Linked DNA regions of Coturnix japonica. The protein of the gene in region 1 purifies or fractionates together with the protein of each later gene. This does not show direct contact. Links are inferred from orthologs where the notes say so. Each region holds a gene or a part of one and is shown on either strand. Other genes may lie near its edges.

Evidence for each region. Proteins that work in one complex are often made in the same cells at the same time.
Region 2: the proteins of NCOA4 (region 1) and FTH1 purify together in Homo sapiens (co-immunoprecipitation; 6 studies listed by BioGRID and IntAct, counting the BioPlex papers as one, with this or other methods). This does not show direct contact. The link is inferred for Coturnix japonica from reciprocal best matches to the Homo sapiens genes NCOA4 and FTH1.

What each region holds. Positions count from the first base shown.
Region 1 is NC_029521.1:1,953,557-1,957,820, forward strand, and holds the start of NCOA4 (nuclear receptor coactivator 4), read left to right. Parts: upstream 1-1,464; 5' UTR 1,465-1,526; coding exon 1,527-1,528; intron 1,529-2,251; coding exon 2,252-2,405; intron 2,406-2,866; coding exon 2,867-3,007; intron 3,008-3,114; coding exon 3,115-3,203; intron 3,204-3,640; coding exon 3,641-3,749; intron 3,750-4,240; coding exon 4,241-4,264. Other genes in the region: translation initiation factor IF-2-like, read right to left, coding at 810-1,243, 1,284-1,464. UniProt on the Homo sapiens protein: Cargo receptor for the autophagic turnover of the iron-binding ferritin complex, playing a central role in iron homeostasis. Acts as an adapter for delivery of ferritin to lysosomes and autophagic degradation of ferritin, a process named ferritinophagy.
Region 2 is NC_029520.1:7,909,965-7,914,146, reverse strand, and holds the start of FTH1 (ferritin heavy chain), read right to left. Parts: upstream 2,801-4,182; 5' UTR 2,507-2,800; coding exon 2,396-2,506; intron 1,010-2,395; coding exon 863-1,009; intron 1-862. UniProt on the Homo sapiens protein: Stores iron in a soluble, non-toxic, readily available form. Important for iron homeostasis. Has ferroxidase activity. Iron is taken up in the ferrous form and deposited as ferric hydroxides after oxidation. Also plays a role in delivery of iron to cells.

The DNA.
Region 1 (4,264 bases):
CTTAGGTTTAAGGAGTTGTTATTAGGTTTAAGATGTTGTTATTTCTCTCACAGAAAAATAACAGTGTGTGGGTATTTGATGCTTTCATGTGCTCTGGCCCTGGCCAGGCCCAGAAGGACAAGGCAGGGACAGGGCTGGAGGCAGCTGTGGGACTGTGTGCCAGGTCACGGCCTGTCTGGAAGGGGACCAAGGACAGACGTCAGAGGAGGTGTGTGTGTGTGTGTGTGTGTGGGAGGGTGAGCTGCAGGGTTGTGGAGACCAAGGGAAAATGGCCTGTTTCCAATGGGGAGCCTGCTGCTGGCTGCACTGTGGGCATTGTGCCATGACACCTGCAGTGATGGCCCTAACTGCAGGCTGTGCTTTGGCACTGCTGCCTCACATTGACAAGGGCATGGCTGTCCTGTCAGGGCACCCAGCTGGGTCTGCCTCACACGGCAGCATCACTTTCCCTTTTACACAGTGCTGTGCTGCCCAGTATGGGGCAAGCTACGCTGTGGCACACCATTAATAGGAGTCTGGCCTTGTCCAATTGCCTCTTGCACTTGAGATATCTCTCTCAGCCTTCTCTTTGATTGAGACAGGGCAGGTTTAGGTTGGATTAGGTTGGGTTTTGCACCCAGAGGGTGGTGACGCACTGAACATGTTGCCTAAGGAGGCTGTGGATGCCCCATCCCTGCAGGCATTCAAGGCCAGGCTGGATGTGGCTCTGTGCAGCCTGGGCTGCTGGTTGGTGACCCTGCACACAGCAGGGGGTTGGAACCAGATGTTTCCTCACACAGGCAGCACTCCACGCTCCTTAGGGGCGGCCTTTAACAAGCGGCGCTCTGACCCTCGCACCCCCCAACGTTGCAGCCGTTCCTCCGCTCCTCCAGGCGGCGCTCGGGGCGCCCATCTCGCGAGAGCGGCCGTTCGTGTCCCGACAGCGGCGGTGCTGAGCGCGGAGCGGGGCGCGGGCAGCGCACGGTGAGTGCGGGCTGCGGGCCGGGGGTCGGTGCGCTGCGGGGACTGGGGGCTGCGCCGTGCCGGGACTGCGGTTCGGAACGGGATTTCTGTTGTTCATCGAGCTGTATGTTGTTCATTGAGCCCTTCCCCCCCCCAACAGCGGCTCCTCCGGCTCCCACGCCCTCGCTGTGCGCCCCGTGTGAGGACGGGGCGGAGCGGGGCCTGGCCGCCTCGATAAGACGCGGAGCTGCCCGGCCCAGCCCCGGGGAGCGCCTCGGTACCTGCTGCCCCTCGGTACCTGCTGCCCCTCGGTACCTGCTGCTGCTGCTGCCCCTCGGTACCTGCTGCTGCCCCCCGGTCCGCCCGCTGAGGTATTTCGGGGCCGCTGTGAGGCAGGGACGGGCGTCCTGAGCGGCTGCGTTGTTGACTGAAGGGGCTGAGGAAAAGGAAACGAGCGATCCGGCTCGTTCCGTAACGCTGCGTGCATTTGGCTGTTGATTCCTGACGAGGCAGAACAGCCATTTTGCGAGAGCCGGAGGGCGGCGTTTGCTGCTCTTTGTGGAGGGCACGGCGGTGTGGTTCTTATGTAAGGAATACGGTCTGTGATCTATTCGTATTGCTTTGTATATGTGGCAGCTTTGGGTATAGCCGTGTCACTGCCTTTTTGCTTGGTTTTCTCTGACTTTCATACTAACGTTTCCAGATGGCTTCTGAGAGGTTGCACTCCTGCAGGCTGTATATCAGGGAGTTGAGTTTGAGTCCTGGTTATAACCTAACCCAGGGCTTGAGGGTGGTTGATTTTAAGGCAAAAAAGGGAGAATCTAAAGGATGTTCTAAGGAGTACGTTAGCAAGGTGAAGGGTGTGAAACCTTGTAGAGCAGCAGCTGTGAATGAGCCAGGCTGTGTCAGTACAAGGATAGAATTGCAGCCTTGCCAGGCTGGTCTTGCCTTCCCCATCAGCTCTGCAGAGCCTTGCCCAGATCAGCTCCCAGCTGCTGCAGTTTGCTGGCTAGACAGAAATGCAGGGGCACGTGAGCAGCAGGGAGGATTGCCTCAGCTCCTGCGGTTGAGCCTGTTGGCAAATATCTGTTGGTTTTCCTGTGGTTGCATAAATTCCTTGTGCCAAAGCACCCCGGAGTCTGCTGTTGCTCTCAGAGAAAGCTTCAGCTCTGCTCACAGAACTCAGTCGCTGTGGGGTCTCAGGCTTTGTTGTTGCATTTAATAGTGAAGCAACATCGATGGCTCTTCCCTTCCTCTTTCCTTAAGGAAGAACGGAAGCTTCTAAGTGTTTTTTTTCCTTGTGCTTTAGGAACACGCTGAGAATGAGTCTGCCACAAGACAGAAATAGAAGTTCTTGCAGCAGCGAGACGCTGGCAAAGTGCCTTCAGGCGAGGAAGGACTTGGAAACAGCTATCTCTGGAATTGTCAAAGCCGAGCAGCAGATTAAAGAGAACTGGCGAGAGGTAATTCTTCATTCGTTAACGATGCATTAATAACTAGTCTGACTTCACTGGCAGTTTAAATAATTCCAGAGTACTTTCTGTTGGGAGGGTGATCTGAAGGTTTCCAATAGATGGGCAAGTCTCTTGGCCTGTAATTTAGGCATGCTTTAGGTGAGGTTGTTTTGTACTTCTAGCCCAGGCATGTGGCATTTTCTAAAGCTTCTGGCTGAAGCATCTGAGTAAAGGGATGTTGTGAATAACGTTGTTATTTGATCATCTTTAGAGGCAGCTTGGAAACTTGCACTGACTTGTGAGTCATGTGGCGTTGTGGGTTACTGTGGTTTAGAGCTTGAGGAATAAATTGGTACAAAAATACCACTTGTGCCTGAGAAATAGAGTTTTGTAACCTGCCCAGCATGTGCTTGTTGGTACCATCTGACAGATATAACAGCAATGAATAATGCTATAATGCTGCCTTGCAGGTTAAAGCCAAGATTCACAGCCATATCAGCCGCCAGCTGGAATGCCTGCGCAGCCGTGAGGTGTGGCTGTTTGAGCAGGTAGATCTCATCCAGCAGCTGAAGGAGGAGGCGCTGCAGCAGCAAGCTCAGCAGCTCTACTGGGTAAGAGGTGGTTGCACTGGGATTTTAAAATGAACTGCATCTTTGTAGTTATCTTGGTTTTAACTTGAGAAGCCCAAACAATAATGAGTGTTTTGTCTTCCACACAGTTCTTGGGACAGTTCAATTGCCTTATTCATCAGCTGGAACACTCCTACAACAACGAACTAGCGAACCAGATTTCAGTTTGCCTGGAGAGGTAAATATTGATTACAATGCGAGCTAATACAGTCGGTAATTTATTTTGACTTAGAAATTTAACCCTATTTGTGATTCTAGAAGAACTAATAATTAACCTGAATCACCATTTCTGTGTTTTAATAGTTCATAGTTGAGAGTCTTTAAGCACTTTGAAGTATGATTCCTCTCATCTGCACCTTAGATTGGTAAAAAACAAAGCAAGACCATAGAAAGGAGTAGGTGTGCTCATTTGTGCACATCACTTCAGATTTTCATTTGAAGTAAGAAGGAAGAAGTTGTGCTTTGCTGGTTTCTTTGCTTTAGGTTGTGAATTTACATCTCCTTGTTTTTGTACAAGCAGTAAAAATGTTTTGTTTTTGTTAATCAGTGCCAAGGCAGCTGTACAGGTGTAGAAGTTAAAAACATAAGGCTGTAACTCTCATCTTGCTCCTTCAGACTGGAAAGTCTCACTCTTAAACCAGAGGAGTCTTCTGTCCTGAATTTTGAGGCTGACACATCGTACCTTCGCCAGGCCATTACCTCATTTGGTTCAATTAAAACAATGGTAAGCACAGAGGCTTTACTGGGTTGTAGTACTTAAAGTCTTAAATACTTAAATAACTTTTGTGGACAGGTCCCATAGTTCTACTCATTCAATATTTAGACAGTAGTTTATTAATTACTGCTCTGATTTTGGCTGAGCTTAGTTCTAGTTACATATTATGTTACTTTGGTTGTGTTCATACTCTTTTCCAGCAAAAACTAATGTTGATTGTGAGAATCTAAAGGAAATCTTACATTGTGGGAAGGTATCTCTGCTGTAGAATTATTTTGGGGTTCTTATGTAAGCAGCGTATCTCGTGTATTATTGGAGATCACTCTCTTAAAGGCAGTGGAATGGAACTAGTCTTTTTGTAGCAAGTCTTTATTGTGTTCTGAATAATGAAAATCATTGGCTGTTAAGAGTGGATCAGTTGTGACTGCACTTTGCTTCTGAGTCTTAGAAACTGAAAACAATGGAGATTTAACCTGAACTGTACTTCTCTCTTTTTCTAGCAAACCTCAGAGAGAGAGATAACT
Region 2 (4,182 bases), on another chromosome or scaffold:
AGATTGCCCATGCCATATGGTATCAGGCTGAATAATAAAGCTGGGGGAGTTTGCTAGGGGTGGGCTGCCACCTTGAGATTAGCTGAACACCAGCCAGCAACTGCACCACACATCACTTCTTTAGTATATCCCTTATATTTCCTTCCATTTCTGTCCTGTCAACTCCCTTTTGTCTCAGCCTCTAAAAATCCCTTCTCTAATGTTCCCCCCATCGCAGTAGGGGAGGATTGAGGGGATTGAGTGAACATGAGATTGCATAGGTACAACCTCAAAGAAAACCAAACTGTTTAAGATATCCAAACAGGGAAGCTGAAAACTATTTTTCTTAAGTGACCATCACTTACTGTTTTCTCCATAAAGATTTGCTATGTATCAAACTGAACATGCTAGTAGTAAATCAAAACAGTGGAAAAACGAGTAAAGGGAGCAAATTATGCCATGAAGTCTTGCAGCAAGTCCTAATTAACAACTGGGAAAAGACTATTTTGTCATCTCAGCTCTAGTCACAAGAGTAGAAATCCAAGAAGGCACATGCAGTTCAACGTAAATGAACCACTTACACTGTAGTTCACCATTCCCAGCACCACCACCACCACCCTCTAAAACCACTATAAGCTACATATATGCAGCTGTTCTTATGGAGGAAGTGACTCCTAGTAGGTCAGCAAGTTAATGTGCATACCTAGACTTTGCCCAGACTGGCCACCACACACAGATAACAGCAACACGTGCTCAACCACTGGCAGCTGCTGCTGCTTTTCTACATGAAGCCTCTCAGGGAAATTCCTTCCCAGACAGCCTGGAGACAGGCCCTAAGATTAGTACTGCATTAGGCATAACAACCCAGAGACCTAGAGCTCACCTTGATGTCCTGCAAGAAGATGCGCCCACCTCTCTGATTTTGCAGCTTCATCAGCTTCTCAGCATGTTCACGCTCCTCATGGGACTGGTGCAGGAAGTACTTGGCAAAGTTTTTCAGAGCCACATCATCCCGGTCGAAGTAGTAGGACTGAAAAATAAGAATTTGTGCACTGAGAAACTCAAGTCTCACTCTAGCTGCAGCACAAAGCAACATTTATGCTGTAACTTCAAACATCTCAGCCCTTCAAGAAGACTAGAGCCCAAGAGGGGGGTTACCAGCAGCACGACAAGCAGCAGGGTAACATGACCAAAATCCTCCCTCTATGGAAAGTTCAGCTTTCCCTGATATATTTAAGCTTTACTTGATTTTAATCCATGTCCTGCTTAGTAAATACAACTAGCTGGATTTGTGGTTCACTTATGAATACGTGAAAACCCACACACCACTAAGCTCTCTAAGCTCTGCCACCTTGAGCACCTTGCTTTCCAGGATTGTTTCCTACTCTTTTCATTGACTCAAATTCATTGACAATGGTCTCAAGTCAAAGTTCTAAACGTAGCACCTGCTAAGAGTAAGTAAAGAGTGAGCAGAAACACTGAAGTACTTCTTCAATAACGCTTTCATGCATACTCCACCAGATTTAGCAGGTGTTAGACCAGCAATATGCTTCCTACTTCTGAGAAAGCCTTTAGTACTACATTTAAAAGCAAAAAGCTTAACTGCATTTAGAACACCTATTCAACAGCATAAACAGCTCTAGAAAGCCACATCTGTGACAACTGTTAGAAGCCATCCCACAACTCCTTTTCCTTTAAAGATAAAGAGCAGAATAGAAAGCTTTTTATCTGTGTATTACTTGTATCTTTGTATTTGTGAGTTATCTACCAGGGAAGAACCTGCAGAGCTCTGAGTTCTAGCAGCAGCAGCTCAGAGGCTCACAGGACGCTGGTGTTTGTGTACCACTATCACCAAGAGCCTGCAGTGGAGGGTCACGTCCTCGTAGTAACATAGCAGCAAGCACTTTAATCCTACACCAGCACACTGCGATACAATACAGGTAGGAAGCTGCCTGCAGAGGTCAGAGCTGCTGTCTGAACTGCGGGCACCAACTCGAGAGCTGCGTGCCAAGCACAGAACCGGGGATGCCACGGATTCCTCCTAATTCACTTCAAAACCGGGACCCGAGAGCCGTGCCTCCAGAGAACGCCAGTGGGAGAGCTGCCAAGCGCTCCATCGGGCAACCGCCGCTACCCAGCCCTGCCCCAAGGGCAGCGCCGCCCGGCAGCTCTGAGCCGCGCCGATAACAGCAGTTAACGCCAGGCCGAGGCCGGCCCGGAGATAAGAGCCTCCCTCCCCCCCTGCATCCAGCGAGCTGCGCGGGCCGCCCCCTCCCCTGGGGGGAGGAACTGAGCGCGGCTGCGCCGGGAGGCACCGCCCGGAGCCGCCCCCCGCCGGGCCTTGCCCGGGCCTGTCCCCGGAGATACCGGGCCCCAACCCCCGCTAAGGCCTTGTCCGCCCCGCTCCGGCGCTCACCATGCTGAGGTACACGTAGGAGGCGTACAGCTCCAGGTTGATCTGCCGGTTGATGGCGGCTTCGCAGTCCTGGTGGTAGTTCTGGCGCACCTGGGAAGGAGGCGTAGCCATGGCGCTGCCGAGATAGAGAGAGATCGATGCGATGGATACGACGGCTGCTGCGGTGGCGGTGGGGGGAGGCGGCGGGTCCGAGCGCGGCCGGTTCCGTCCAAGCACTGTTGACGCAGGAACCCGCTCCGCTCAGCCTCGCCGACGCGCTCTGAGCGCTCCCGCCCCGCTCCGCCCCTTTTATACCGCCGCCCCCACGGGGAGGGGGGACGGGGCGGGGCTTCCGTGCGCTGCCCGCCGGGCGCCGGCCGGGCCGCCGTGACTCAGCACCCGAGCGGGGGGCGGCACTTCCAATGCGGGCGGGACCGGGGGGCGATGGGTCAGAGATGGGAGAAGCCTAAAGGGACCATGGAGCAGCAGGGCAATGGACAAAGGAACCGTGTGCACACATAGAGACGCCAAGCATGGCCTCCTGCTGCTGTGCCATCACCTTTCTAATGTACCATTAGAAAACGCTGACATTTATCAGGAGCACTCCAAGCAATGGCAATGTGAATCACTGAGCCTACAAGCTCTGGTTGGCTTCATTTTTCCTCAGACATGCCCCGTTCTGCAAAGTTTACTATGGTCTTTGAAGCTGTGATTGCCCCCGGGTGATGCATAGGGGTGTGTTTGCTTTTTTAGCTGGGTGTCTGAAAGAATCGGGCAGCCGATGCCTTCCTTTGTCTCACGGCTTTCCTGTCGGTTAACAGTCAGGAGTCATTAAGATCGTGAAGTTAAGGTGGATGGTGCCTCTTGCTTCTCAGGCTGCCAGCTACATTTGAATTCTCCTGTTCGCCTCCCACGCTAATGCTTATGTAAAGGAAGAAAGGAAGAAAGTTGTAACCGCTGGGCAGAGTTGCATTATTGTTTACATAGTGTGGTATTTTCAGCAGCTGGAAGCTGAACCCTTGCTTTTGGCTGGAGTTGTCCTCTCAAAGCACAAACCCCTTTATAGCTTTATGATCAGGTAGGCCTCTATACTGCCAGCCGATGGCAGAGCACAGCTCAGTACTCCAGAAGGGCTAACCTTGAACCTACTTCCAAACGATTTCCCAGCAGCTTCTAGATTGCAAACCATTGCTTGTTGTTTTTTTCCAGTCTCATTGTGACCAAGCACGCATAAATCCTCATTACGGTGTTTCATGAAAGGCTGCGCAACAGCACAATTCATAAGGAACTGAGCAAATACCCTATTAATAACAGGAATGCGTCCTCTGTAGTTTGAACAGTCTGTGCCACCCGTGATCAAATGTCAGTAAGATAAGGGAAGCAGTAAATTCTGCTTTTTTAGATCAATGGCAAGTTGCACAAACACACACATCAACATCGACAGCAGCAGATTTTGCTTGGTCAGAATAGGAAACATAGGGCTGCAAGGCCATGCATCACGGCGTCTTGGGGACAAACAGAAGGCCTGTCTCTCACTCTTGTCTGAAAGTGTTCAGGTTTAGCTATAACCAAAACTTCTCTGTCTCAAACTACCATCACAGCGCTTTAACTTTGTTCCATCATGTTTTCCTTTGGCTTGTTTTAAGCCCTCTTTCATCCTCCAGGAGTGCAGTTATGGGCATGCTCAGGAAGCAGCCTGGCAGAAGCATTATCGTGCTCTGTCCAGGCTTCACATCAAATGACATTCACATCTGTTAACCAACAAGCTCATCTTCTGCACCCAGCAATGCTTTGCACACTACTTTCTG